Linked DNA regions of Yarrowia lipolytica. The protein of the gene in region 1 purifies or fractionates together with the protein of each later gene. This does not show direct contact. Links are inferred from orthologs where the notes say so. Each region holds a gene or a part of one and is shown in the gene's direction. Other genes may lie near its edges. The genes, in order: YALI1_E18802g, YALI1_C25829g, YALI1_B05690g and YALI1_C17680g.

Region 1 (7,736 bases):
AACATGATGGACGCCATCTCGTTTGTGCTCGGAGTGCGGTCTTCGCAGCTCCGATCCACCCAGCTCAAGGACCTCATCTACCGAGGCCGAATCATGCGTGGCGAGGAAGTCAGCTCGACCCAGTCTCAGGAAGCCACGTCGGCATACGTTCTGGTGGAGTACGAAAAGTCAAATGGAGACCTACTCAAGCTCAAGCGAACCATCACACCCTCGGGCACGTCTGAGTACCGAATCAACAACAAGGTCACGTCGTCAGGCGAATACAATGCCACCATGAAGAAGGAAAACATTCTGGTCAAGGCCCGAAATTTCCTGGTCTTCCAGGGAGATGTGGAGCAGATTGCCAGTCAGTCGCCTCAAGACTTGTCCAAGCTGATTGAAATCACCTCTGGCTCCATCGATCTCAAGCCCGAATACGACCGTCTCAAGGAGGAGCTAGATGTCCAGACTGAGCGAAGCAACGCAGCCTGGCAGCGACGACGTACCTACAACGCTGAGAAGAAGCACTACGTTGAGCTCAAGGACCGTTACGACGCGTACACCGCCAAGGCCGCAGAGCGAGACGAGGCCGTTGTGAAGCAGCAGCTGTGGAGACTGTGGCAGGCCCAAAAAATCGAAGATGAGGCCCGAGACCAGATTGAAGGTGGAGACGCTGCTATCCAGAACGCCGAGGGGGCTGTTCAGGAGGCTGCTCAGGAGGTGGAAAACGTGGCTGCCAAATATGCCAGCGACAAGAAGCGGCTGCTCAAGCAGGAGCGTTCGGCAAAGAAGCGAGCAGACGTCATTCTGGAGCACAAGCAGCAGCTCGTGCCTGTGGCTGAACGTATTGCTGTGGTGTCCGGCAACATTTCGCGTCACGAGGCTCGGTACGGCACTGTCGAGGCTGACTTACTTCGACACCAGGACGAAGTCAAGCAGACTCGAGGCTCTCTCAAGATGGTTCAGGATGCCTCCAGTGAGTTTGAACGAGATCTGTCATCGAAGCAGAAGGAGTCAGGCGGAGTTATTCGAACTGATGAGGACGCGGCCGAGTATAGCACGCTGAAAAATGAGGTGCACAAGCGGTCGCTGGCTGAGCAGGCTGAGATTGAGACGGTGAAGCGAAAACTCAGACCTGTTCTGGACCATAAGCGAGCTCTGGAGCAGGCACAGGAGGACTCGGAACTCAAGGTCAAGGAGTTTAAAAGCGAGTTTGGCGTCTACCAGACCCAACTGAAGGAAGCTGAGGAGGTACTCAAGACCCACCAGTCTGCTCTGAGAACTCAGAGTGAGTCTCTGGCTCGGGTTGTGGACGAACAGACTACCCGACGACGTGTCGAGCTGGAGCTTGGCGACAAGCTGGGTGTTGTGGCTAACCGTCTGATTGAGCTAAATGCGGTCAAGCGACAGACTGAGCGAGAACGACGACTTAAAGAGACTGTTGCCAACCTGAAGCATGTTTTCTCGGCACAGAAGGTCCACGGTCTCGTCTACGACCTGTGCAAGCCCAAGGAGAAGCGACACGATCTTGCTGTGGAGACCATTCTCGGTAAGGACATTGATTCCATTGTTGTGGACAGTTTCAAAACTGCACAGGACTGTATTGCATACCTCAAGGAGCAGCAGGGCGGTCTTGCCTCGTTCATTCCCCTCGATACTATCAAGGCCATGCCTGTCAACTCGTCGTTGCGGTCGCGTCTTCGTGGGGCTGTACTTGCCATTGATGCCATTTCCTTTTCGTCTCAGTACGAACGGGCTTTCCAGTACGTTTGTGGCTCGGCCATTGTGTGTGACGACCTTAAGGAGGCTAAACGCCTTGGATGGAGCCTGAATGTCAAGGCTGTGACCACCGATGGCTCCGTGATTCACAAGGCTGGTCTTATGACTGGTGGTACTACCCAGAAGGGCCACCATGGCGGCAAGCGAGCATCCAAATGGGACGAGTCTGAGGTTACAAAGCTCCAGGCAGAGAAGGATGCTCTGGTTTTGGAGCTACAGACTGTTGGTCGGCAAAAGTTTGACCCCGAGCGTCAGGATACACTGCAGCGTGAGGTTGACAAGGTGCGACAGGAAGTGTCTGCTGCCCAGAAGCATGTTGCCAGCCTGAAGGACCGTCTCAAGGATATCAATTCGCAGCTCAAGTACTACAGCGAGGAGGCTGCCAAGAGCAAGAAGCAGATTGCCAGCACCGCCAGTGATCTCGAAAAGCTCGAGACACAGAAGGCCACCATTCAACAACGCCTTGACGAAGTCTGGTACACCGTGTTCTCGTCTTATTGCACTCGTGTCGGCGTGACTGTTGAGGACGTGTTTGCATATGAACAGACCCATGGCTCTCTCTCCGCTGGTGCCGAGCGAAAGCGGCTCGCATTCTCTCAGCAGATTGCTACTCTCGAGTCACAGCTCAAGTTTGGCTCCAAGCGTGTGGACGAGTGCAAGGGGCGACTGGCCAAGATTCGACAGTCTATCGATGATGACAAGGCAGCTGTGGATGGCTGGGAGGCCGATGAGGCCCAGCTGAGAGAGGACATTGGTATTCTGGAAGAAAAGGCTCGAGCTGAGGCAAAGCAGGTTCAGAAGCTCACAGCTGCCGTTCAGAACGCGTCAACTGAGTCCAACGCTGCCAAGGAGCATCTTTCCCGAGCTCAGGGCGTGGTCGATAACCTGCGACGAAAGCTTGCCCAGTCTGAGACCGAGCTTGAGACTGCTGCTACTCAGCGGTACGAGGTTCTGCGAGAGTGCAAGATTGAGGGCATTGAGCTTCCTCTGGTGTCAGGTGATCTCGAGTCTGTGCCTCTGGTTGAGGGAGACGACTCGCAAATGGATATCGATATTGAGGTTGACTTCTCGTCGCTTCCCCAGGGCATTCGAAGACTTGCCGACGATTCTACTCTTGTTTCCAAGATCAAGGCTCTGCAGGCTGAACTGGAGCGAATCAACCCCAACCTGAAGGCCGTGTCTCGACTCGAGCAAGTGGAGGCCGAGGGTGCTAGCATCGAAGCTGAGTCCAAGAGAGAACGTGAGGCACTCCAGGAGCTGCAGGCCCAATTCAGAGAGGTGCGAGACGCTCGATGCGATAAGTTCAATGCTGCCTTCGAGCACATTTCCGGAGTCATTGACGCTACGTACAAGGAGCTCACTCGTTCTGATGCGTTTCCTCTGGGAGGTTCGGCTACTCTGACTGTCGAAGATGAGCATGAGCCTTACCTTGAGGGAATCAAGTACCACGCCATGCCCCCCATGAAACGATTTCGAGAAATGGAGCTTCTCTCTGGAGGAGAGAAGACTATGGCTGCTTTGGCCCTACTTTTCTCCATCCACTCTTTCCACCCGTCGCCCTTCTTTGTGCTTGATGAGATTGATGCTGCTCTGGATAATGCCAACGTGCAACGAGTCGCCAACTACATTCGGAAGCATGCTGGCAGCAAGTGTCAGTTCATTGTGATTTCTCTCAAGCGGGGTCTGTATACTCATGGAGAGTGTTTAGTTGGTATCTACCGAGATCAGGAGGTGAACTCGTCCAAGATTCTTACTATGGATTTGAGATCGTATCCCGATACTTAGGCTGATGTAGGATTGGATTGGAATGAGTTTTTATTGATGAATTATATATATATTATTGGTGTTATTCGGATACCTACAAAACTGTAGAGTGAGGTGACGTGTCATGGCATGATCTGGCATAATCTGAGCACGTCCGAATCTGCTTCATCAGTCGTTTGTAGTTTAATTCGATTTTTTGATATATTTTCCAGTATTTAGCAATAATTCAGGCCGAATTCCGGTACCCATCTCAGCATCGCCATATTAGCTTTGCATGGTCTCCCCCCTTACATAATGGGCTGCGCGATATTGCATATGCACTAACAGTCGGAACACGTAAATTGTTCTTGTACACGACAAGATGAGTGACTTGAAATTCTTCACCAAGGTGAGTATTTGGGGTGGTCGCGCTTTGCGGGCGCGTCTTGGAGGTTATGCTAACTCAGGGAAAAGCTGCGGAATTGAGAACGGAGCTGCAGGCAGCCAAAGGTCCGAAAAATGTCGGAAAGAAGAAGGCGGTGCTGAAGAAGATCGTGGCCAACATGACCATGAGCAACAATGAGATGATTGTCTTATTCGAGGACATTATCGACATGATCCGATCGTCCAACGATCTGGACGTGAAGAAGATGTGTTTCCTCTATCTCATCACATACTGCAAGGCTAAACCTGAGCTGGCCACGGGAGCGCTGGACCCTCTTCTGGACGATGCTGGATCCCGGGAGTCGCCCTTGATTCGGGCCCTGGCCCTCAAAACACTTTCCTCTATTCCTCTGGAGGACTTCATCAGGGAGGGAGTGGAGCCTACCAAGCGACTGTTGTTTGATGAGGACCCCTATGTTCGCAAGACTGCGTGTCTGGCCGTGGCTAAAATGTGGTCCCATGACACCAAGATTGTTGAGCACTCTGACTTGATCGCACTGCTCAACAAGCTGCTGAACGATGGAAACCCCACTGTGGTGGCCTCAGCACTGGCTGCCCTGATGGACATCACCGAAAAGTCTAGTGATTTGCAGCTCACACTCGATCACAACCACGCGTCCAAGATTGCTACCGTGCTTGGGGAGTGTTCCGAATGGTCGCAGATCAGCATGCTCCAGGCGCTACTATGCTGGACCCCACAGACAGCTCTGGAAGCGGAGCGTATGGTGGAGCGTGTTCTTCCGCGGTTGCAGCACTCTAATGCTGCTGTGGTTCTCGGAACTGTGCGTCTCATTGTCTACCTCGCCAATTATTCGCAGAACCTCCTGGAACACGTGCCCCAGATCCCCACCAAGCTGAGTTCCGCAATGGTCAACCTCATTTCGAGGCAGCCTGAGTTGCAGTACCTTGCGCTCCGAAACTGCATCCTTATCCTCCAATCAAAACCCCAGCTGCTCCAGGGCCTGTCTGTTAAGGCTTTCTTCTGCAAGTACAACGACCCCATCTATATCAAGACCACTAAGCTGGAGCTTATCTATTTGCTGGCCAACGACAGCAACATTGGAGTTGTGCTGCGTGAGCTGCGTGAGTACGCGACGGAAATCGACGTGCAGGTGGTTCGAAAGTCTGTACGAGCCATTGGAAAGCTGGCCCTCAAATTGGAGTCTGCTACAGCCGCAAAGGCCAGTGTCGACACACTCATGTACCTTGTGGAGACCCGGGTGTCATATATTGTGCAAGAAGCCATTGTAGCTCTCAAGAACATTCTTCGACGATACCCCGGTCGGTTCGAGGGCGTCATTGGTGAGCTGTGTGAGCACCTGGATGCTCTCGATGAGCCGGAGGCCCGTGAGGCCATGGTCTGGATTGTCGGTCAGTACGCTGACCGAATTGATGACTCGCATCTCATTCTGGAGCAACATTTCCTTTCTACGTGGCACGATGAGCCCGTCAACGTTCAGCTTGCACTTTTGACGGCCACCGTCAAACTTTTCATCCTGCGACCTACCAGAGGCCAGGCGATGGTTCCCAAGGTGCTCAAGTGGGCTACTGAGGAGACTGACAACCCCGACCTGCGAGACCGAGGATACATGTACTGGCGTCTCTTGTCGTCTGACCCCTCTGCTGCCAGAGACATTGTGCATCCCGATAAAATGCCTCTGATCCATGTTGAGGATGAAGCAATCATGGACCCTCGAGTTCTGGAAGAGTTGGAGCTTGGCATCGGTACACTCGCTTCTATCTATCTCAAGCCTGTTCGCCATGTATTCCGACTGGCCAAACCCAGAAAGCTCACTCCATCGCCGTGTCTCATTCCTCGAAAAGACAGCGATGTGGATGAACTTAAACAGCTTGCTGAGCAGGCTGAAAAGTCAAAGCAGCCTGCTCCTAGCATGCCAGACATTGCATCATTGAATCTGGGCACTCTTCAGAGCCCATCTCTGGCCCAGTACACTCCGCTGATCCCCACCCCTACCACAGGTACTCCTACTACCCCCAGCTTCCCGCAAATGCCCCAGCGATCTAACAGCGTTGCTGTGCACCATCAATCACAGCAGCTGCTGGATGACGGAAGTGGCAGCCAAGGCTACTTCGTTACACAGAACGGTATTGCTCAGGGCTCTCAAAATACCCAGAACTTGTTGTGGTAACATTTGTATGTACAAGTACAGTAATGTACAGTACAGTACCCCCATATGTAATATTTACAATAGATTTTATATTTTATTGTGTTGACTTGTCGAATGTCTATTCGATTGTGATAGTCTCTGCTATAGGCATGTTCGGCTCAGGACCCTCCTTCACCTTAGTCCAGTCAATATCCCTACCGACGAGCTTGGATAGAATGATCTGTGCCCCTGGTTTACTTAACACAAGGCCATTCTCCGTGCAAAAGGCCCCAGCAACACATGAGTGACAACCCCAGTCGCATTCACAGTCGTTAACTCCATCGACAGCGTTGTTGACGATCTCTTCCACAAACTGAAAAGCCTTCTGTGACAAGCCAGAGCCGCCCTCGCCGCCTACCTTGTCTCCAAATATCAACCGTGAAGGCCGTCTTCGAGTGGATTGCCGTTTAGCAAACTCCTTTTCAGGAGCTTTACACTCTGTGCGTACATCTCCTGGTCCACAGACAACATATCTTGGAAAGAAGTTGATGAGAGCATGTTCGGCGGCGTGAATTGCACCGGCCAGAGAGAGCTTCTTGGCCTCGATCAGTTTCATAGTGGATTGTGGAATATCAATCCAGAACCCCTTTGTGTTTATCACAAACGACGGATGGTCAACCTCCACAGCCTCCAGGATTCGATCTCGCTTGTCAAGCTTGAAGAAGCCAAAGACAGTCGTTGTGATGCGGATGTTTCCAAATGACACCTTTCCGCCCCCATTTCCATACGAAAGCTGTTTCACCTCCTCTGACTGGACTGGATCCACATCTGTGAAGTCTCGCTGTCTCGTATACCAGTCCACATTGACCCTTCGGACCTTACCCATTCGTTCTTCCACTGAGACATCAACAACAAGGTAGGGAAACCCTTGGTGCATAAAGATTCCTCCCTCGTATAACGAAAATGGCACTCTGCTCTCTTCCAGAAGCTCAATGATGTGACCCTTGTTGTGGGTGATATCCACTACAGCATAGTGGTTCTCCTCAATGCCTCTAATGGAAACATCCTTAGCAGGATTGTCAGAGAACCGTGATGATGTGTGATAGAAGGTTGTCTCGTCAGTCTTGTCTTCAATTAGTTTGTCCTTCACTGTATGCAATAAAGGACCGAAAAATTCCACATCATGTGTCAGCTCAATGGGGAACTCCGAAGCTGCACATTGAATATGACTTTCGAGGAGTAATAGGTTAGTAAGAGGCTCGATTGTAAGGGCTTCTGTAGGCTCGGTAAGCATTTTGTCAGGGTTTTTCATGTAGAATTGGTCCACGGGATCTCCAGAACCAATGACAATAGTCAAACTGTCTGATCCGTCCTTTCGTCGTCCAGCACGGCCACTCTGTTGTCGTAGATTAGACACAGTCATGGGAAATCCGGCAACGATACATACGTCCAGCTGTCCAATATCAATTCCCAGCTCCAGGGCGTTAGTAGCAACTATACCCACTAAACAACCAGCAAACATGTCCTGCTCGATTTTGCGGCGGTCTTGTGGAGAATAGCCGCCGCGGTAACTCATAACCAAGTTAGACAGATCGGGTCTGCCTTCATCCACAAACTTTTGACGAACACCTTTGATAATTTGCTCGCAAATAACCCTGACTCTGCAGAAAACAATGGTACGTA
Region 2 (8,576 bases), on another chromosome or scaffold:
CGAGGTGCAGGAAGAGTATCAAAAGGCCCGTACTGCACTGGTTGAAACGCTCACTGAACTCGATGAAGAGCTGGTTGAAAAGTTTCTGGAATCTGAAGATTACATGCAAATCACTACTGAAGACATTAAACGGGCCCTGAGAACCGCCACCATCAACAACGACATTGTTCCAGTTCTGTGCGGTGCATCTTTTCGAAACATTGGCGTCCAGCCCCTCATGGATGCAGTTGTCGACTTCCTCCCTTCTCCGGCAGAACGTCCTCCTACTGACGCTTTAATTGCCAAGTCGTACACTGGAGGTAAGAAGTCCAAGGTCATTCCGGAACGGGCCATCACTCTCGACGATTCGATGAAGAACCTGTGCTGTGCTCTGTGTTTCAAGGTTGTCCAGGATCCCCAAAAGGGCACACTTGTCTACGTGAGAGTATACAAGGGCGAGTTGAAGCAGAACAGTGTCCTATACAACACTACATCTGGAACCAAGGACCGTGTTTCTCGTCTGCTCAAGGTTCATGCTGATACCACCTCAGAGGTCACGTCTATCACTGAGGGTAACATTGGAGTCATTTTGGGTTCCCAGGGACTCGCTACTGGTGATACCATTGTCTGCCACAGTATCAAGAAGGACGGTGTAATGAAACTTCCCCCGGATAACCGTTTGATTCAGCTCAAGCCCATCGCTGTCCCTCCTCCGGTGTTCTTTGTTCGAATTGACCCTGCGTCCATTGGCGACACTCGACCCATGAATGAGGCTCTTGAACTGCTTCTTCGCGAAGATCCCTCTCTCAACGTTTCGTTTGATGATGAGACCAACCAGACCACACTCTCTGGTATGGGAGAACTTCATCTTGAGATTGCTCAGAACCGACTGATTGAGGACTTCAAGGCCAACATCGTCATCGGTCCTATCATCATTTCTTACAAAGAGACTCTTAATGAACCTACCAAAAGTATCACCAAGACCGTCGAGCCCGAACCTGGAGCTGTCAGCACTGTTCGACTTCGATTGGAGCCCATCACTGAGATGGATGAAGCTTGTGAAAACGAGAATGTGATTGATCATGAACAAAACACAGTTTCTTTCCCTTACGAGCTGTCTGATGCCGACCTTGAGTCCGTTGGAGAAGGAAACCAGCGCATCTCGTTTGAACGAGATACAAAGGAACTTACCCCCGAAATCATGGAAGAGTGTTTCCGAGTGGGATCTATTCCCCCTCTTGTGTCCTGCGGCCCTGTTTGCAGACTCCCTCTTCGAAGTGTACGAGTTGTAATCGAAGCCTGGCATATCGCGCAGCATATTAACAATACAGCTTCTCTCAAGACAGCAACCCGTCTGGCTATCATGGAGGCTCTGTCTACTGCCAACGCCACTCTCATGGAGCCTATCATGAACGTCTACGTGTCTGTCAACGAGGCTGACATCGGTCTAGTGGTCAAGGATCTTAGTGGATCACGAAACGGACAAATTGTGAGCATTATGGACCCCTCTCAGTTGAACGAAGGAGATATCCACTCGGAGGAGTACGTTGCAATGGCGACCAACACCTACGTTCCTGCTGATTACACCATGTACCTTTCTAAGCATCAGGATCAGACTCGAACCCAACAGTCGGTGGTGCATGCTCGGGTTCCTCTCCGAGAGATGGTTGGCTACCTAAAGACTCTGCGATCCATGACCCAGGGTCGGGGTAGCTTCACAATGGAGGTGGATCAGTACGAGGCAGTTACTCCCGACAAGATCCAGCCCATTGTCGACAGCATTTTTGCTTAGTCATGGAATGAGCTGTTTGAGGACAGAGACATAGTCGATTGGTGTATATAGAGATTGGATTGTATATATGAATTTTTAATAGGAACAAAAAAACCTGTGAGTACACAACTACGCTTATGTACTTGTACAATATTCAAAAAAAACACGCAAAAAAAACCATACCGTCGCAATCCGAGAGGACAAAAAGTTGTTGATCAGCTTTGAGAAGCCACCGGAATCAAACCGGCTAATGTTCCTCCACTGTCATTAACATGACATGGACAGGAATTGAACCTGCAACCCTTCGATTACAACCAAGTTGACTGGAGTCGAAAGCTCTACCATTGAGCCACCACATCAACAACTTTAAAAACGGTGTTTTTTTGGGTCTGGTCTACGTTGTATGATTAGTAATATGGGAAAACGGTGGGAAAAAAAAGAGGTTGAAATGAGATTTTGAGCAGATATAGATGTCCAAATGGTGCCAAATTACTCTTCTATTGCCTTAATAATTGGTATTTGTTCCCTTTTAACGTTCTAGCGATCACCGTTAAGAAACAAATGTACTTCCTTGCTTCAATGATAAAGGCAGTCCAGCATCGGCTTTTTTTCCCTAACATGTGTCGATCGACTGATACCGTTGTATTATGACGGCTATCCAACACATATCTTATCTTTCGGGATGAATATTATCGTTATACGTGCCTTGAGTATCTGTAAACTACTGTATATAGTCAAGTTGTTGCGTTCATACGCTCAGTTCATGTCTCAAATTGCGCCTCTGACATGTGCTACGGGCGTGTTAACGCTGCGTCTTTATTCCGGCTGCGTTAGCTCCGCCTGGCTCATGTATAGAATGAGCGAGTACGAGAATGGAGGGGTTGTGGACCGACCGTGAGTGGAGAAACATGTGTCACGTGAGTCAAGCTGCCGAGCTTGGTACGACTACGAGTGCAAGTGCGACAAGTCGCGGCTGGAATGCTCCAAATATATTGGTGCACATTTTTCCACCTTGCTCATGCATGTCAGAGTTACTTATGTGAGGCGGTTATCTCCATCTGGGCCGCTACAAGACGGAGTGAAACAGCGTCGACGCAAGAATTGGGAGCTGGAAAACTTTGGAGCGAATTCTAACCAACTGGCAGTCGCCAGAAACGCGTCGAAACACCAGACAGGTGTCAAATCTGGTTCTCAAAAGACACATGGCTGGCTTTGACCAACCTTCAACTTTATCAGACGGGCCCATCCGAAGCAAGTTTAGGATAGAGCAAGGAGGGCGGGGGATATGTTAAACGGGGTGTTGGGGACACTTTTGACGGAATTGGAGCGGATAGAAGTAATCTCCATAGCTCAATGAATTGATTCCGACTCTTGCGAGCAAAATCCGCCCGCTACTTCCCGCAGTAACGGGCCCCCTTATTTTCACCCCTGCGTAAGGCACGTGATGGAAATTCGCGCTTAGGTTAACGTTGCCGAGCTGCGTGTCGTGTAAATAGAGAGAGCTGAAATTATCTCACCACGGCCTGTTCAACCACCATGGAGGAAATCAAAAACCTGAAAAACATTGGGCGAAAAATCCGGCCCAAGGAGAGCCAGCAGAAGCTCGGCGAGCTGATTCGGCCCAAAGAGAAGGATATGAAGGGTGAGTAGGCGTCCGTAGACGCTGAGAGGGTAGGAAGATATTGAGAACAATATATCAAGACCTGGATGTCAGTCATTCGCCATATTAACCCAGGATTGACACAATTCATTGCGGATCTGAGAAATGCACGGGCTCGGGAAATGGAAGAGAAACGAGTGAACCAGGAGCTGGCCAACATCCGACAAAAGTTCACGGACCCCAATCTCAGCGGCTACCAAAAGAAAAAGTACGTGGGCAAGCTGCTGTACATTTACATTTTGGGCTACAAGGTGGACTTTGGCCACCTGGAGTGTGTCAAGCTCATCAACTCGACGAAATTGAGCGAGAAACAAATGGGATACATTGCGCTGTCGGTGCTCATCAATGAGGATCACGAACTGGTGCATATGGTGATCAACTCTGTGCAGAAAGACCTGGATGGTATGGACGAGATGCACAACTGTCTGGCGCTTCATCTGGTGGCTACGGTGGGTAGCGAGATGATGGGCAGCGAGCTAAACCACGACGTGTACAAACTGCTGATTTCGCCTACCAGTTCGACCTTTGTGAGGAAGAAGGCTTCTTTGGCGCTGCTACGACTGTTCCGAAAGAACCCCAATATTGTGGAGCCCCAATGGTACGACCGAATCATTGCTCTGATTGACGATCCGGACCTTGGAGTGGCTACCTCAGTCTGTTCTCTGGCTATTGCTTTGGTTCAACACGACCCAGAGGCCTGTGCAACTTCCCATATCCGAGTAGTCAGACGACTCTACGACCTGTGTGTCAACAACCAGGCGCCCAGAGACTATATTTATTACGGAGTCCAGTCGCCGTGGTTGCTAGTGAAGATGCTCAAGCTCCTGCAATATTACCCTCCTCCGGATGCTGCAAACGAGACTACCACCGACATGCTGCGCCAGACTGTGCTCGAAACTGTGGATAAGTGCTCCCAACCCGCCCAGAGCTCGCAACAAAGTAACGCCCAGCATGCCGTCTTGTTTGAGGCTATCAACCTGTGTATTCATATGGACATGGCTCCCGATGCAAAGCTGCTGTCTATCCTAGGCGATTTTATTTCGTCAAAGGAGACAAACTTAAGATACCTGGCCCTCACAGCCCTGGCCCGTCTGGCTGCTCGATACGAGGTCTCGTCGCAAATGTCGGAAAACAGTGCACTTCCTGTCAAAAAGTTTCTCATTACGGTGCTTGGAAACCTCAAGGACAAGGACATTTCTATCCGACGAAAGTCTCTGGATGTGCTCTACTGTGTCTGTGACTCGTCCAACGTCAAGACTATCGTCGCCGAGCTGCTTAGATACCTTGTTACTGCTGACTTCGCCATCAGAGAAGAAATGGTCATCAAGATTGCCGTTCTGGTTGAAAAATATGCAACTGAATACAAGTGGTATGTGGACATTTCGCTCAAGCTGATTGCTGTTGCCGGGGCACACGTGTCCGAAGAAGTTTGGCAGCGAGTCGTTCAGATTGTCGTCAACAACGAGTCTCTCCAGCAGTACGCCAGTCAGACTCTCAACACTTATCTCGCGCAGCCCCAGTGTCAGGAATGCATGGTCAAGACCGGAGCATACGTCTTGGGCGAGTATGGAGACCTGCTAACAGAAGTCCAGCCCATCCAGCTCTTCTACAACCTGCATTCGCATTTCAGACAGGTGTCTGCGCCCACCAAGGCTATGTTGCTGTCTACCTACATCAAGCTGGCTAACATGTTCCCAGACATCAAACCGCATATCTCACGAGTTCTCACGGCGTACACTTCCAGTGCGGACTCTGAGATTCAACAACGAGCCATTGAGTACGTGTCAATCATCCAGAAACCGGAGCTTCTGAAGACTATCTGCGATGAGATGCCTCCATTCGAAGGCCGAACGTCTGCTTTGCTTTCTAGATTGCATGCTCGAGAACTTACCTCTCAGGACCAGCGTTCCTGGGGTCTGGGCAAGTCTGGAAAGTCCGAGGTTGACGCCATTCGGTCCAAGAGCATCATGCGAAAGAACAGCCAGATTTCTTCGTCCAACAGATCGGATTCTGCGTCTCCCTTTGGTGACGAAAATAACGTGACTACCGGAAACAAGACCACCCCCCCTCCCCCTCCTTCAAGAGGCGTTTCCCACTCCGGCCTGTCGCCCAACTGGGATCTGGGCTTCTACGATCTGTGCATCAAGGACGAAGGCACCTTCTTCAAGGACCCTGTCATGCAGGTGGGTCTCAAGTCCGAATACAGAAAGAACCTGGGTTGTGTAATTCTGTACTTTGTCAACAACTCGGGCACCAAGATCTCATCTCTGTCGTGTGAAATCACAAACAAGGAGCCTGACAACCTGACGGTGTCCACCAAGAACTTCCCGGACTCGTCCATCGAGCCCAACAAGCAGACCCAGCAGGTTATTATCCTCAACTGCCACAAACCCTTCACCTCGTCGCCCACCATCAAGATTACGTACATGGCTGGAACCCTCAAGGTGCTGCATCTCAAGCTGCCTATTGTCATTTCCAAGTTCATGACCGCCAGCCAGGTGTCCACAGGTGACTTCCAGAACCGATGGAACCAGCTGGCAGACAAGGAAAGTCGGCGTATCTTCAAGCCCCAGGATATCTCCAAGTCTGCCAACCCTGCTCATAACCTCAAGGTCATGAAGGGCTTTGGATGGTCCATTGATGCTCAGCAGAGCACTCGGGACGCCATCTACGGCGCAGGAGTACTCTACACATCTGTCAGTGGCAACTTTGGACTGCTGGGGTGTCTTCAAAAGCTGCAGGGCAATCAGTTTAGCATCACCATTCGAGGCACCAATGCGGTCTTGCCCGCCATTGTGGGCAAGTGTATGAGCGATTATTACCAGGACATTATGTAGGCATAGGGAAATAACACAGCGTAATATAGAATGAATGAATGAATGATTTATTAATGATATCGTGAGTGTTATACCTGGAAGCAGTGGTTGTATGTACTGCTGTGTCACATGGCCTAACCGTCCCAGAAGAGGTTGAATTCCCGGCACTGGCACTGGGATGAACTGAACAGGAGGAGTACATCGGAGTGCACATTCTGTCAGGGCTGTACAAGTACAGTACACCCATACTTAGTTACTGTACTTTGACTCTATTTGTACTCGTACTACCGATGTATGTACTTGCAGTCAAGTGAGCAGGGGCTCATTGAGTGTTTCTACTGTACGGGTACCGCACATACAGTACAATTGACAATTGCCCCAGAAACACCCCAACACCACCACTATGAAGTGTGCTCCATCTACCTCGGCTACTGGTAACTGCCATGCATCTAAGCGTCGTGGAGCACTAATTTCACAGCAGCAAGTCGCTTGTCTTACTCGTGTTGAGTGAACACCCTCATCACCTGTCTCAGCTCGAAAGCTAAAAGATGGCGACAAGAGAGGGACGTTGGACACACAAGGAGATGATCACTGTGAGAGTGAGAACTTAGCTGAATGGGTGGTGATTACGTCCAAGTGGCACGGTGTCACAAAGGTGTCTCCCATTGCTTTCAAAGCAGTCATTTCTACTGTTATTGTACCAGTACTGTACTCTGGATCACCCAGCACTGTACATTTACAGTGCACACCTCAGCTGTAAGAAGCCCCACACAGACGGCACTACTGCACATGTTAGTTGAGACCCAACAGATTAGTCTGGAGGAAAGTGGGACTGGATGTTGGAGGGAGGAGGGGCGGAAAACAACAATCAAACGAGAGTGTGACGATTTTCAAAGGGAAGATTGCCCCAGGTTTATCATGTGACTTGCAGACCCACGTCGAATTATCTATGCTGCTTTTTTTTATCCTTTTTTTTTTGCACTCCCTTTTATATACAGTCCTGCATTCCCCACCGCCTCTTTTACGAGACCCTACGGCATTTATGTAGGCTTCCCCAGACCGGTGATAGCTAACAGTAACTCACAGCGAGAGTTAAACTGTGGTTTGGAGAGAGACGGGGATGGGTGGGCACAGTACTGTACATACTTGTCCAAAGTAGCTGCTTATGGCTGAATTATATTGTGCTTGTACCTATAGAATGTAGCTCCAACGTCAAATAAATGTGGAGCTTACTGTACAATACGATACGAGGTTTCGTCCAGTTTCAGTGTCTGCCAAAACGATCCAGAAGGGGACCCATATTTTCTTATTTTTCTATGTTCTAATTTTCTCTTTTCTAATGTTCCAATTTTATATTTTATATTTTCCAAATTTCCACATTTCGATTTTATATTCTAATTTTCTGCCAACAGGGCCAGTTTTTTCCCCCCCTTCTGTTCCTTCTGTTTTGCCTTTCTTTTCAAACCTTAAAATGTAGCCTCTTCTCCGCCCCCATTGTATGGACATTAAAAAGTATCAACCAGACACGTCTTTGGAAATTGACAAAATCCGCCACCTCACACCCCACTACGAGCACCAGTCGTGTGTGCGAGTCTTCTGAGCTACATCCAACCAGCCCACGCGAGCCCCACGCGAGACCCATCATCGTCTTTCTACGCAACTCGGCTCCTCGGTTATTACCCCGCCTATATTCTTCTCGGTTATCGGTTGGCACATCACCACAACACCTCGAGCTGTGGATCACGGAAAAAGGAGTTTGAAAGCGGAAAAACGGAAAAACACACGAGATAGTAGCGGTCTAGATCCAACCCGACCGATTTAGCGATCGCTCTTTGCCCTATTGTTGCTTCACCATGTTCAACTCAGTCAACAAGGAGGAGGACCAGGATATCATCATTGACGAAAGTCAAGTGTCGATGCAAGAGGGTTCGGAGGAACCTGAGGGCTCTGGAACCGTGGAATACGACTCGGACGGCGCGCCCGTCAACTCGGACGACGAACTGGCCGCCATTTCGTCCTCCAAGCGGCAAAAGGCGCAAAACGTGTTCCGACGGTCCTACAAGGCCTGTCTCAACTGCCGCAAGCGCAAAATCAAGTGCGACCTGGGAGACCTTTCCAACCCGTCAAAGCCGCCCTGTGCCCGCTGCAGACGCGAGGGCAAGCAGTGCGTGTTTGTCGAAAGCAAACGAGGAGGAGTGGCCAATGTGCGTGCTGGCAAGGAGAAGAAGCGCAAGCTGGAGAGTCCTAGTCCCCCGGTACTCATGAGAAATTTGCTAGGGGTTCCCCAACCGCGCGATCAGCATTTTAAACAGCATCAACAACCACAGCCCTATGAACCTGTACCTCCTTC
Region 3 (5,959 bases), on another chromosome or scaffold:
AGACGTTGTAGGGTGAGCGTATTGTCAGATTGTAGCGATGACTACGATTACGAGACGGTATAATCCGCTCTGGTACGACTGGTACGACTGGTACGACTGGTACGACTAAATTGTAGTATGACTATCGGTATCGGTACGACTGGTACGACTGGAATGATTATCGGTATGACTATCAGTACCACTATCTCTGTATGATGTTAGAATGGCGTTTTTTATTTTTATTTTATTTTTATTTTTATTTTTATTTTTGTTTTTTTAACAGTAAATAGTTTTTTTGACTGTTTTATGTTTAAAATGGTTAAAATGGTTAATGAAATTATAATAAAAAATTATAAAAAAATGTCTTTTTATTAATTACTATATAGATACACAAGTTCAATACTTTTCTCACCCCTGTGGATGAAGTAAGGAATGACACCACTAATATATCTGTCCCACCGTCCGAAAAATCACCTCGCCTTCTCTGGGCAGTATTCAGACTCTGATCCGTTGGTTGGAGTTCTCAAGTAATTCCATGAACCGGTTCTAAGAGATTCAGCCCAGCCCAGATACAGACTTGTCGATTTGAGGTCAACATCTAGCTGCTGGATCTTTTTTTCATGGCACTTGAGTCTTTCGAGAGCCACTGGTTCTGGACAAGGATATCGGTGGTGGTCAGAATCGGAAGTCGGTGGGAAGTTGACATGTTATTGTCCATCTCCGGCTCTCACAGACATCTCCTTACTATCTGGACTTGGCTATTACTACTGACACTCCAGGGACCAACACCATTGACACTCCAGGGACCAACACCATTGACACTCCAGGGACCAACACCATTGGTGACGCTGGAAGGTATCCGACGAGATCCTGGCACTCAGGCCTCTTTTCTGATCGCTAACGGAGAAGTTCGGTAGGTGACTCTTCTGGAACCTCTCCGACGAAAAGAGAGGGGAACCACCTCTAGCAAGTCTTGCGGATGCGATATTAGCTGTGATTTCTCCCAGAACACATCCTCATTGCATTTGGTAGTGGCTTTTGTCAGCGGAACGGAGTCTCCGTAGTAACTGGCAAACAGTCCTCAGTTTCTCCCGTTGGAACCATCTGAAAATGCCACTGTGACTTGCACTTCACCCCAGTAGCGGTTGGTAGCAGTTACAGACCATCAACAGCTTCTGCGCTGGAGAAGTGAATCGATACCAAAGAGCATGGAACGCTCCTGAACTCTGCAAGCGTCTATATAGCGCTACGCCATGCTCAAGAATAGCTGAATGTAGAGCGTGGACAGGATATCAGCTGGAGCTCCCAGCATAGACCGTTATGCCAAGATGCGATGGAGTAGACAGTTTGTTTTATTGTCCAAAACAGCTTTTACTCTCCAGCACAGCTTGGTGTCTTTGTCAAGGCGTTTACGGAACTCCTTTGGTCTATCACTACGTCATTCTGTTCTTCAACCGTTTCCATTTCAACTGGCTTGTACTACATGGGTATTCCTGGTTGACGGAGTTCTCCAGTAGTACAGCTTGTCTCCAGCTGCGCTGGAACATTCCCTGTCGGCATACATCCTGTTTTTGGGATTCAGGTCCAGAGGTATTCTCTCCAGTTGGTTAAATGTCGACAGATGTCCACAGTCTCGCCAAGCGCTCTCACATGGCTTCGAACAGAAGACCTGTCTGTGGGCTCAACAAATGTACTCCAGACTGAGAATTAGATGATTTGTCTTAGTCCGGAGTTGGCGGCGACTGTCGAATCTATCCTCAGGTGCTGAAGAGTGGTTCTAGGAGCTGGGTTCGTTCAAGCAGTTCTAGGGCTCCTCTCATTCCGCAGTTGGGCACCAGCATGACCACAAGTGGGGGGAGAACCAAAATCTGATCAGGAAGAACCAGTTGCTTACGCTCAGATATAGTCTGTCAGCTCCACTCGTTGATGCTCTACTGTACGCGGACGAGAGTGAGGCGGTCCTTGTGGGAAGAGAAGTAGGACACGTAGGACGCGGCAGGCTTCCACCACTGTGGATCCAGTTCTTGACCATTGGTCGGTGGCTCGGGCGTCCAGTCCCCTCAGCAGTTCCTGGCCAGCTCCTCCGGAGCAACAAATTCTCCAACGGCCTCGTCTGTTGTTCTACCGGCTCGAATGAGGTGTGTCGTTCTTGTCGCTGGTTTGAAATTAAGGCGAGTTCATCTGTTAATGGAAGGCTACAGTTATTACGGGAAGGTTAGTTCTTTTCTTTTCTTTCTTTTTTCTTTCTTTTTTTTTCTTTTTTCTTTCTTTTTTTTTATTCTTTTTTCTTTCTTTTTTTTTTTCTTTTTTTTTCTTTCATTTCTTTCTCCGTCCCTCCATCGACTCAGTGGTGCCCGTCTTGTGGTTCCATGGGGCTCTAAAATTAACAGTTAATATTCTCAGTGATTCCAGCACGTTTTTCGACACTTCCAACACGATTGTCGCAGCTGTCGTTGTCCAAAACCCCCATTCCCATTCTCTGGAATTATCGCCATTTTCTGGCAATTACAACGCAGAAAATCCCCGAGCCAACCCCAAACAAAGTTGGATTTAACACAATTAATTCCCAGCGTTTTAAGGGGTGCAACTTTGCCGACAGACACTAGCCGCGGTTGTTGAGCGCACTTTGAGAACAGTACAATGGCCAAATCGACTACTTGTAGATATACAAAATGAAGCTGTCGCTTTGGACAACTCCAGTCCATGGAAATATCGTCGCTTTTCACTTAAAACAACGCCAGGTATCCGTATCTTCAGCTGTTGGGCGTGTGAACGACCTGAACCCTACGAAACGGGTCTCCAACTCGGGCTCCAGTCACACTGGTTGGAAAAATAGCCACGCCATTGAATTCGCAGCGAACATATTCTAATATAAACGTGGTGGCGTTTTGGCCGTGTATGTTTTCCTTCGTCTGTGGTGGTATCTTTTTTGTCCGCAGCCATGCGGTTTTTTCATTTTGGGGGTTTTTTGGGGGAAGTTTTGGGGGAAGTTTTTGGTTTATGTTATTTTATGTTATTTTATTTCATTTTATTTTATTTTATTTTATTTCATTTCATTTTGTTTTATTTGCTCTTTTCTGATAGGCAAAATCGTCCATATCCAGCCCTAGGAACGTCGCATCGGATCCCTAAAAGGCGAAATTGACCCAAATTGCAATAACAGCCATCAGTCTCTATTAAAAAAAATCACCCCACAGCTCTTTCCTGTCTCCTTCTGAATTCCCCCATCTTATTGACTCTAGATATGCAAGTGCTTATATACTGAGTGTAGCACCCAAAAAGACCACAATAGCTGAAGATGGAGAGGTCGAAGGACCGAAGAAGGTTGATAGTTGACTTTTGAATCTCCGAATCGGTTCCTGATTCGACAGTTTGGGGCTCCAGCATTCTTCTTCCTCGTCAATGCATTCCACTTCAAGCAGCTTCCCCAATCCATCATATACACCCATATCAAGTGCTACAAGAGTCGACCAACTAACACCAAAACATGCCATAACCAACCAAAACACACAATCACCACCCAATTTACCCTCCCGAGACACCGTCACGTGACCTCATCGACCCGCCTCATTCACACGCCTGTCCCACCCCTCCGCTGACTAAGCACCCCTGTAATTACCTCATGCAGACGCCGCTGTACCACTCTGCAAGTCACGAAAGCCATACATTTCTTTCGACCAGCGGTGACACGACATTTCGCGACACAAAGCCGTCATAATGGTGTTACAGTACATTTTGGTACAGAACCGACAGGGCAAAACGCGACTTGCCAAGTGGTACAATGCGTATTCGGTGAGTACATGATGGGGCTCCCAGGTTTCTTCATCTTGACCAACTCGGCGAGGAGTGCTGCGATCAAGATGGAAGCACCACCATTCGAACGGCAAGATCCAGACGAACACAGCCATATATCGTTTGTCCGCATGGACTAACCCAGGACACGGAAAAAATCAAATTGATGGGAGAGGTGCATCGGCTGGTGGCCGCCCGAGATCAGCGATACCAGAGCAATTTTGTGGAGCTGGGCAACTACAAGGTCATCTACCGCCGGTACGCGGGACTTTTCTTTTGCATTGTGGTCGACGAATCCGACAATGAGCTCTTCTACCTGGAGGCCATCCATCTGTTTGTGGAGGTGCTGGACACGTTTTTCGGCAACGTTTGCGAGCTGGATCTTGTCTTCAACTTCTACAAGGTGTATGCGATCCTCGACGAGGTGTTTCTGGCCGGCGAGCTCGAAGAAACCAGCAAAAAGGTCGTTCTGGCTCGACTCGAGGAGATTGACAAGGCCAGTTAGTATTTATAGGGAAGGACATGGGCTATGGAGGCGTCGAACAAGAGCCAGGACAATATGATTTATGATATTGACATGTTGAGGGGGAGGGAGGGTTCTATTGTAGGAGCAGGGGAGAGCGCATGAGGTTACGAGCAGAACGACGCGAAGAGAGGATGTTTGAGCGAAACTATGGTACCATTGGAAAGCCCTGGTCTGTCCGATGACAATGGTATAAGAATAGTTGAGATATCTCTTACCAGGTCTTGTCTACTCCGTGATTATCAAGGAGAACGAACATGCAACGTAGGAGGACAGCGGTGACACTACCAACCATCTGGTCACATCAAATTATCTACATCTTCCGATTCAGAACGTCTGGTTGACTTATTGTGTGATTTTTCTCTTCGCTCGGGGCGGTTTTACGCGCTTTGAGTAGTCACCAGAGATGTAAATCACTCTAGCTTGGCGAATATTGCTCCTAGAGGATGGGAAATAAATCCATAGTAATACACACACTTTTCTGATCTTCCTAGATGTTTCAGATCTTCTCCACCATGTCTGTGTCTCATGTTCATCCCGAGCATGTCGTTCTGCTGTACGCGTAGATCAACACTATTAGGCTACGTAAAAAAGTCACGTAAAAAGAAAAACAGAAAAAAAAAGAAAAATACTAAAAAAAGAAAAAGGAAAAAGAAAAACAGTAAAAAAAGATTCAAAATAGGAAAATAATATTTAAAAAACACCCGGGGCAGGTTGCAAAATCAACCGATGCAAATATTGACAATGAAAGTCGTTGAGATCACAGATAGGGATAGTTATCGACCAATGGGGGCGTTGATTTTTCCGGTTTAATATTTTTGTATTTTGTACTATTTTTGAACTGATAGTTGTAGCCGTATTTTTGGCCTCAAGTTGCTTTTTTTCTTTAAAACAGAGCGAAAATAATATTAATTACCCACAAATAGGCTCACGTATGGTGGGGGGAATAATCAGTGTAAAATCGGATAAAAGTGGAGAAAAAGGTTGGGGAAAATTGAAGAAAAAATATACAACCAGGAAGAGACACCCATGTGTACAAAAATCACTATTTTTGTCGCGTTCCCGACCCAAATCCACCTCCAATCAGACCGCCCTTTTGCGATTAACTATTTCACATTATTTTTGGTGTGCCTCATCTGTCTGTCACGAACTGACTTTTAATGTTGCAATAATACGTGTTGTTGTGGTCCGAATTCGGGGGCAAAAAGAAAAAGAAAAAGAGACAGTCCTGCGTGTGGCGTGTGACACAAAACCCGTCACCGTCTATATATTCGCACCCTTCAGCTCCCCTCTCCACCCGTCTGGTGTTCCTCTACATTCACACACGTTAACCTTTTCTCCTGCATAATTCCACGTCACCTAACCCAGCCCCTTTTACACACACACAGACACACAGAGAGACACTCGGATAGTTGGACCCAGACAGACACCACACTAGCTACAACTACACCCACACCGCTCTCCACACAAGCAAGCAAGATGACAGACAAGTGGGTTCCTGGCCAGGGCCAGCCCATGTACGGGTCGCAGCAGCCTCACAACCTCATGCCGCCTCCGTCGGGGCTGTATCAGCAGAACTCCAACCAGTCCAACACGTCTCTGGATCAGCAGCAGCAGTTCAACCAGCAACAGTACAACAGCCAGCAGCAGTACCAGCAGCAACAG
Region 4 (7,629 bases), on another chromosome or scaffold:
TACACAATCACCACCGAAATCACCATTGAAACATCGCCAGAGGTGGTTTCGAACATTCTCTTCGACTTCAAAAACTACCACCAGTGGAATTCATGGCTCAAGGTCAGTGGAGGTCCGCCAAGAGAGAAAGAAGCCACCTTTTATTTCGATCTCATAGGCTCCAGGCTAGCCGTATATGCAACACAGCCGGCAAGGACCTCTTCATACACACCCATCGTGGCGCTGGCCTCGCCTAGTGTTCTCAAATGGTGTCGAGGCGACAAACACAAGTGGGCTCTGGACGGTGAACACACCTTTGAGATCATCGCGTCTAAAGAGAACACTGGGCGATGTACATTCAGACAAGGCGAGAAGTTCACGGGAACCTTGGCTAAAGGTCTGAGTCTCACAGGCTACTACGAGCGTCAAAGGGACTCGTATGAGCGCATGAACCGAGAACTCAAGTTGTTTGCCGAGGAAATGGTGCATTCAGATGAGTTTGTTGAGCGGTTTTCCGAGGAGCGAGAACGGCACAACTTCAAGAGTCACCACTTCAACATTGACTAACTACGGGCGGAGAGACGGAGAGGGCGGAAGGATGGAAGGATGGAAGGACGGAAGGACGGAAGGACGGGAACCAAAAGACACACCTCCTGATCTCTGGCTCACTACCCGCGCTGGTCGTTTCATGTGCTATAAAAAGGTGAAAGGCGAATAGATGTGCTGATATGGAGTCAACTAATGAGATTGTAGCTGCCGTGATTTCACCTCGCAATATTTGTGAAAAATGGTCACACCGCTGTAAGCGACATTAGATCCTGGGCGGTTGCGGGCTTCCATGGGAAGGGGGCAGTCGCCGGGTTATTGACCTCCTGCTAAACTCTTCTACTCCCACTGAGGGAACCAGTGTAGACTCAGCTGAGGCCCTATCCAAGATGTTCATGAAACACTCTGGTAACCTTGACACCCGCCTCCTCAAGGCCGTCATGGTCGCTCCAATGCCTCTGTACCGGAGATTCGAGTTCCTGACGCGCCACCTCTCTGTCAGGGACCAGTCGGACTATTTGCCCATGATCAACGACTTCAAGTCTGCCCACACGCACGCTAAGCAGACTCGTGATTATGAACCCCTCACTGAGATGTGCTCGGGTTTCTTCCGCGCCATTGCTCAATACGTTGGACTTGTTGACGACAGCTCTTCTACTCCTGCAGCCCATGAGCGACAGTTCAACATGGATCGCAAGTCTTTCTTGAAGGATCCACGACAACAGTTCCTTGTCGTGTCCTACTTGCAAAGCGTCGCCTACGCACTCCGAAACTCTCCAATTGATGACTTCATCAAGTGTTGCCGTCTCCCTTGTCTCCTTCCTGATGCAGGGGTCACGTGGTATTCTCAGCGTGATGACAACCACTGGGGTGATGTGCTCGCCTGCATCGAGGCTCCAGAGTCCACTCGTTCTGAGCTCAGTATCACCGCTGTCTGCGCTGATAAACAGATTGCAGATATGTTGGAGCGTTACACAAAGGTCATTAATCATCTCCCCAGCTCTGAACGGAAGCTTCTCGCCGCCAGAGGTTCCTGGTTCCCACGACTTCCCGCGAAGGGTGACAGTGCTCTCATGTGGAGTGTCGGGTCTCATGAGGAGGTTTCCGATGCTTCCGCTGTCCAGGCTGTGAAGCCAGTCTCCACCGCTACTCACACCCCCTCGGCTACCTCTCGTGCCACTCGTGCTGCTCCTCGTGGCAACGTGGCCACTACTCGAACGAGGTTCGCAGCCGTGTTCCATGTGTCTTTTACTCAGGATCGCACTCGTTCAACCAATGCTCCGATTCTGAAAAGCTACAGTTCACCAGTGCTGACAGCATGGGATTTTTCAACAATGTCTTGCGCTTGTCCGCTAATGACAAGAAGCAGTACATTTACTTCCCTCGTGAGCAGTTTCCTGTCAAATTCAGCTCTGTGTTCCTGCTGTGGAAGATCCAAGACTGGCCCGCGCTCAAGAGCTTCATCAAGTCATACCCTGGCTACGTCACTGCCCGGGCGGATACACCAAGCCTGGTATACTATCGGAACCAGATGGTTGTCGAAGCAGGATGTAAGTGTTAACTAAATATCAACAAACTTTCATTTGGTTTTTAACAAAAAGGAGCTCATGTATTTACAGTACAATATAGTATGCAGCAAATAAAATAAAATATGGTACCCCTTGAACGCCCTCCAACTACTTGTAGTTTTAATACACGTCTGGATGTCAATTATACTCGAAGATATTGAAAAAAAAAAAAAAAAAAAAAAAAAAAAAAAACATTGCAATTACCAGATTTGCCGGATCCAACCAACCCTTCCTCAAATCCGCACTTATTACCCTCCAAAGGCTCGAATCGAACACACTGTCAGTCGACGCGCATCTTTCCTGAACTGTCAAAACAAGGTTTCTTTGTCATGTGATCTGCCACTGACTAAACACTTTCTTCAAGTCAGCAGTACTACACGAAACGTGCAACGAGACTTGCAACTTGACGCCGGCTCCTTAAAGCCCCATGTTTCATGCCGCTTTATCCACTACGCTGCCCGGCTTCGAACTGGCAACTGCGCGGAGGCTGGTCTGCCCTGCGTCTAACATGCACAACAGTGGTATCGGCAGGCAACCTGCCTAATTGGGAGAAACATCAACATTCCCGACCAACGTCAAACATAGCAAAACAGAGATCCGCACACGACTGCAACATTGTCTTAGACTGCCCCAAAACATCACCCATCGGTACCAAACTTGCTACATACCATTTGGTCATACCATTTGAACACACCATTTGAACACACCATTTGGACACACTTGTACGCAGCACCCACAGCGATTGTCCACCAGCCATGGACAGACCTTTCATCATGGAGAGCTCTCTTTCCACGGCGATTACAAACACAACGTCGTCGTCGCCCAAGCGGATATACGCCGGTCTGCAGCAAATCCGATCGATTTTCAAGAGTCTGGTTCGAGCTGCTCGACAGACGTCCAACATTGATCTATGCTCCAACTTCGAGGAGTACTCGCAGTTGCAGGAGTCGTTCGAGTATAATGTGGCATCTAACCTCGTGACGACCATTGAACGCATGCTTACCAGCGCAGACACCATCCAGCATCTCCCCTTTGCCATCGATCTCCTTCGAGGAGCTCTTTTGCTGCATCAACCCAGTCGGCGCATCTTTGCCACCGAAAACAACATGGGCCTGTTCATCAAGCTGCTTGGAACCCCCCAGGCCGTTGACGTGACGATTCGAGCGCTGGTCGCTTGTTTGCTGCGTGAAGTGCCCAACATCCGACTGTTTGAACACATGGGAGGCCTGGCCACCATCTGCACGCTGTTCAAGCGAAAGGAGACTCCCAAGGACGTGAAGCTCAAGATCCTCGAGTTTCTCTTCTTCTACCTCATCCCCGAGACTCAGACCAGGCAGAACGTGGACAAATCCAAGACTCTGTACCGACAGACCATGTTGAGAGACAATGTGTACCGCCTGACGACCGAGGACAAGCAGATCATGCTAGGCAAGTATCTCAGTAACGTCAACGGACTTGTTCGAGAGCTGCATGAGAGCAAGCCCTTTGGCGATATGATTCTTGAGTGGTGAGTCATGATTATACTAACGGACTAAGTAAGTTGAATAGATGGATATGGGAAATGTGAGTGGCCATGAATCTGGGATATCCAAGATACCATGGCCCGTTGCCTGTCGACAACACTAGAACATGCATTAGGTGCATTGTATTGTACATCTGTATTTCATTTGTAATTTCAAATCACGTGAAAACAATAGAACAAATCTAGAGATTTTCCTTCACATAACCTACATGCTTAATCATCAAGCTTAATCATCAAGCTTAATCATCAAGCTTAGTCACTATGCTTAGTCAGACACGCAGGGGTGCATATCGTGCATGCGCTAATTGTCACGAGCTTACGTGTTGCCCGCCATCTGACCATGATTTCGGCTATTCTACTGTACAACCAGAAGGGCGAGGTGCTGATCTCGCGTCTCTACCGCGACGGGTTGCGGAGAAGCATTGCCGATGTCTTTCGAATTCAGGTCATTAGTAATCCCGAGGTGAGTACCGAAGGGAGGAGGATTGGAGCACGAAATTGATGGGGGCGACTGGGCGACTGAGGGAATGTTGCAATGGAAGGCTCATGGCCGTGTATGAGTTGCTATGATGAAAATTGCGACCATCACGCGACCAGTGACCGTGTGGTGACGCGAATGCTCAGGAGATTGAGCTGGAGGGATTAATAGAGGTTGACTCTGACTGCTAACAGCTGGATAGGTGTTGACAGGGAAAGTGTGGTCATTATGATTGTTTTATGATGGTCTGTTCTCTTTTGTGCCATGTCTATGCTCTCTTAGAGGACGATGAAGGACGTGTGTGAGAGAGGACATTCTTCTTGAGAGGAAAACCGCCATTGGGGCAGAGATTGAGTCCCTTTACTACGCCTTGCAACCATACGGTGATATCGATTCTACAACTGCTACTAAGCTCACGAAGCACAAGCTATACTGTTTCAGCAACGTATCTGACTTGGGCATAGTTCTGCTCATCTCACGACTAGTTCAACTAGCTCAAAAACTCAGCGTGATCCCTCATGATTCGATTTCTTCTGGCTCCGCTTCCTTATGCGACACCGAGACAACGAGTGACATCTACAGCAAAACCAGATATATGTCCAGCTGCTACCACTCTTTCAGCCACCCTACCTTTATATGGAGTGCTCTCAGTCGTATCTCATGCTTCGTTCCGGCATGAAGATCGATTCTCACCCATTTCAACTCGCGATTACAGCCACCATCCCTTTCACTACTAACCCAGGTACGATCACCGATTCTTACCATTGGTTCAACCTCCTTCATGCACTGCAAGTCCGAGGACATGTATGTCGTTGCGGTGAACCGGTCGAACGTGGATGCCGGCATGGTGTTTGAGTTCCTCTACAAGATTGTCGCCCTCGGCAAATCCTACTTTGGCTCTTTCAACGAGCAGAGCGTCAAGGAGAACTTCACTCTGGTCTACGAACTGCTTGACGAGATGATCGACTTTGGCCTTCCCCAAAACACAGAGATGGATATGCTGAAGCAGTATATTCAGACGGAGGCCAAGCGAAGTGGCAGCGAGTCTGGCTCCAGCGCCGTGTCTGTGTCTGTTCCCGACGCCCTGAGTAGATCGAAATCCATGAAGGCTCTCAAACGGTCCAAGACCATCACCTCGCAAATCACAGGTGCCACTCCCTGGAGACGAGACAACGTCAAGCATCACCGAAACGAAATGTTCGTGGATGTTGTCGAGAAGGTCAACCTACTCATTTCGCCCACCGGCTCTGTGCTTGTTGCTAATGTCGATGGAACCATTCACATGAAGTCGCAACTCAGTGGAGTGCCAGAATGCACTTTTGGACTGAACGATACTCTTCGTCTCGACCAGGAGCACGACGAGGACGACCCTAGATCGTCCAAGCGAGGTGGCAGACGTGGCTCCACTGCCCCCACCGGCTCTGTGGGTCTACAGGACTGTGTTTTCCACCACTGTGTCAAGCTGAATAACTTTGACCACGACCGGTCGATCAATTTTGTGCCTCCAGATGGTGAATTTGAGCTCATGCATTACAAGTGCGTGGAGAACCTAAGCATCCCGTTCAAGGTGGTCCCCAGTGTGCAGATTGTCGGAAAGTCACGAGTCGAATACGATATCGTTATCAAGGCGAACTTCCCCAAGCAGCAGACAGCTACCAACGTCGTCATCAACATTCCCACGCCTCGAAACGCGGCAAAAACCACCATCAACGCATCCAACGGCAAGGCGAAGTACGACTCGTCGACCAACCAGATTGTGTGGAAGGTGTCGCGTATCAGTGGAGGCTCTGAGATTTCTCTCCGAGCCACAGCCGAACTCACATTTACCACGGAGAAGACGCCGTGGAACAAGCCGCCCATTTCGATGGACTTTGAAATCACCATGATCACGTGCTCCGGTCTGGTGGTGAGGTACCTCAAGGTGTTTGAGAAGAGCAATTACAACACCGTTAAGTGGGTACGATACTTGATGAAGGGTGGAAGCTACGAGATTAGATTTTGATGGAGGAGTATGGATGTAATTTAACAAAATGGACAATATGGATTGACTGACGTGAAGGAGTGGAGTAATACTGGCACTCTGGCGAATAGTTGACGACCGACGATGTGCGATACATCTACCTACAATTCACGTAGGCCATCGCGCCTAGACAAAACAGCTGCATTGGACAGTCAGCAACAGAAACGACACTAACGTTCAGAAAATTTGCACCGAAACTTGGAGAAAACCAGAGCACCTGATATCTAGTTTCGCTGGCTGAATGCCCAGCACTTTTTGGGCCAGTTTCAGCATTGTGATCCTTGCTTTCACTTCCCCTACTTCCTTGTCTTCCGGTGGTACCTACAGTCAGCTTTCGGGAGCGCCGAGTCGTTCGCCGCTGGGTTTCGGTCAGAGTGAGGGTTGGAAGTTGCAACAGATTCTCGTCCCCACAATTCTCCAGTTATTCAATGATCTGGAGTGAGTGTACCCCGTGTTGTCTTCATCCCTCGCCAGTTACTCGAGAGTAGACACCATTGAGATGGTCTTTACCAGGTGAACCAGAGAAGACCTAACCAGAGTCAGCACTTCTGAAGAAGCACTGCCTCTGACTGGTATCTGATCTGTTCAAATCAGCGGGGGAAGTTCGATTGGATCCTCACCTACTGTCGGGCAGTTTATTGCTACTGTTTGAGCTGTCTGCTCTTTGATACCGCAACCAGTTACCACTGTCCCCAACTCCCTTCCCACATCTGAGGGGGTTGACGATTGGGGTCCAGGAGTCGCACTGCCACCACTGTTACCTCCAAAGCTTCCACCAATATGGGATTAGCGGCAGATGCGACGGGGCCAACTAGGGACTCTCTAGTACCTGTTGCTAGAGGAATAAAGATCTTCTTTGGAACTGCAACAGATATCGGTTATAACTTTGATGCGAGGACTTGGTTTGGGTAGGTGACCCGAAGGAGTGATCTTTGGAGGGAGTAGTTTCTTGATCGAGCAGTGGGCTTGACTTGGGGTCTTCGATGAGTTCAGCAATCGGACTCACTTTGAGAGTGGGACCTGAATTGGTGTTGTTTTTGGGAGCTGTACTCGGGACAGGAGCTGACACTCAACAGAAGGGAATCCATCTGGAATTGAGACCTCATTGGAAGTGGCTCTTCGGTTCCCGATCAGATTCAGATGGGTAAAGAGTTGAACGAGTGGGATCAATTGTTGCCCTGGCTGCTGATAGGGTCAATTGGGAATTCAGTTGGAGATTCGTTGAGAGAAGCTCGATTGACTGAACCGGGAGATTCAATCAGGACTGATCAGACACACTTGGTGCTTATGTCTCAACCAGTGATTCCCAGGAACTATATGGGAAGGAGACTGCGCTGGTGATTCGATCGGTGTCTAAAGAGATGGTGACGGGGGCTATCTACGAGTAGAGCAGGTGAACTGGCTAGACGGGCCGTTAGGAACAATAGACAGCAAGTTACAAGTACTGTAAAGTTGAAGGATGGTTTTGAGCATCCTGTGAATGGTGATGCAACTGGGGTTTTGGACTCAGTGAAAC

The links.
Region 2: the proteins of YALI1_E18802g (region 1) and YALI1_C25829g purify together in Saccharomyces cerevisiae (affinity purification with mass spectrometry; 3 studies listed by BioGRID). This does not show direct contact. The link is inferred for Yarrowia lipolytica from reciprocal best matches to the Saccharomyces cerevisiae genes APL1 and APL3.
Region 3: the proteins of YALI1_E18802g (region 1) and YALI1_B05690g purify together in Saccharomyces cerevisiae (affinity purification with mass spectrometry; 3 studies listed by BioGRID, with this or other methods). This does not show direct contact. The link is inferred for Yarrowia lipolytica from reciprocal best matches to the Saccharomyces cerevisiae genes APL1 and APS2.
Region 4: the proteins of YALI1_E18802g (region 1) and YALI1_C17680g purify together in Saccharomyces cerevisiae (affinity purification with mass spectrometry; 4 studies listed by BioGRID, with this or other methods). This does not show direct contact. The link is inferred for Yarrowia lipolytica from reciprocal best matches to the Saccharomyces cerevisiae genes APL1 and APM4.

Annotation. Positions count from the first base shown.
Region 1 is NC_090774.1:1,876,498-1,884,233, reverse strand, and holds YALI1_E18802g (uncharacterized protein), read left to right. Parts: upstream 1-3,883; coding exon 3,884-3,910; intron 3,911-3,968; coding exon 3,969-6,095; downstream 6,096-7,736. Other genes in the region: YALI1_E18843g (uncharacterized protein), read left to right, coding at 1-3,543; YALI1_E18749g (uncharacterized protein), read right to left, coding at 6,193-7,736. UniProt on the Saccharomyces cerevisiae protein: Adaptins are components of the adaptor complexes which link clathrin to receptors in coated vesicles. Clathrin-associated protein complexes are believed to interact with the cytoplasmic tails of membrane proteins, leading to their selection and concentration.
Region 2 is NC_090772.1:2,579,655-2,588,230, forward strand, and holds YALI1_C25829g (uncharacterized protein), read left to right. Parts: upstream 1-3,286; coding exon 3,287-3,392; intron 3,393-3,485; coding exon 3,486-6,247; downstream 6,248-8,576. Other genes in the region: YALI1_C25789g (uncharacterized protein), read left to right, coding at 1-1,771; YALI1_C25877g (uncharacterized protein), read left to right, coding at 8,080-8,576. UniProt on the Saccharomyces cerevisiae protein: Adaptins are components of the adaptor complexes which link clathrin to receptors in coated vesicles. Clathrin-associated protein complexes are believed to interact with the cytoplasmic tails of membrane proteins, leading to their selection and concentration.
Region 3 is NC_090771.1:565,377-571,335, forward strand, and holds YALI1_B05690g (uncharacterized protein), read left to right. Parts: upstream 1-3,696; coding exon 3,697-3,771; intron 3,772-3,916; coding exon 3,917-4,276; downstream 4,277-5,959. Other genes in the region: YALI1_B05698g (uncharacterized protein), read right to left, coding at 4,280-4,505, 4,552-4,589; YALI1_B05711g (uncharacterized protein), read left to right, coding at 5,774-5,959. UniProt on the Saccharomyces cerevisiae protein: Component of the adaptor complexes which link clathrin to receptors in coated vesicles. Clathrin-associated protein complexes are believed to interact with the cytoplasmic tails of membrane proteins, leading to their selection and concentration.
Region 4 is NC_090772.1:1,765,243-1,772,871, reverse strand, and holds YALI1_C17680g (uncharacterized protein), read left to right. Parts: upstream 1-3,955; coding exon 3,956-4,078; intron 4,079-4,835; coding exon 4,836-6,095; downstream 6,096-7,629. Other genes in the region: YALI1_C17728g (uncharacterized protein), read left to right, coding at 1-546; YALI1_C17719g (uncharacterized protein), read left to right, coding at 915-2,090; YALI1_C17700g (uncharacterized protein), read left to right, coding at 2,849-3,604. UniProt on the Saccharomyces cerevisiae protein: Component of the adaptor complexes which link clathrin to receptors in coated vesicles. Clathrin-associated protein complexes are believed to interact with the cytoplasmic tails of membrane proteins, leading to their selection and concentration.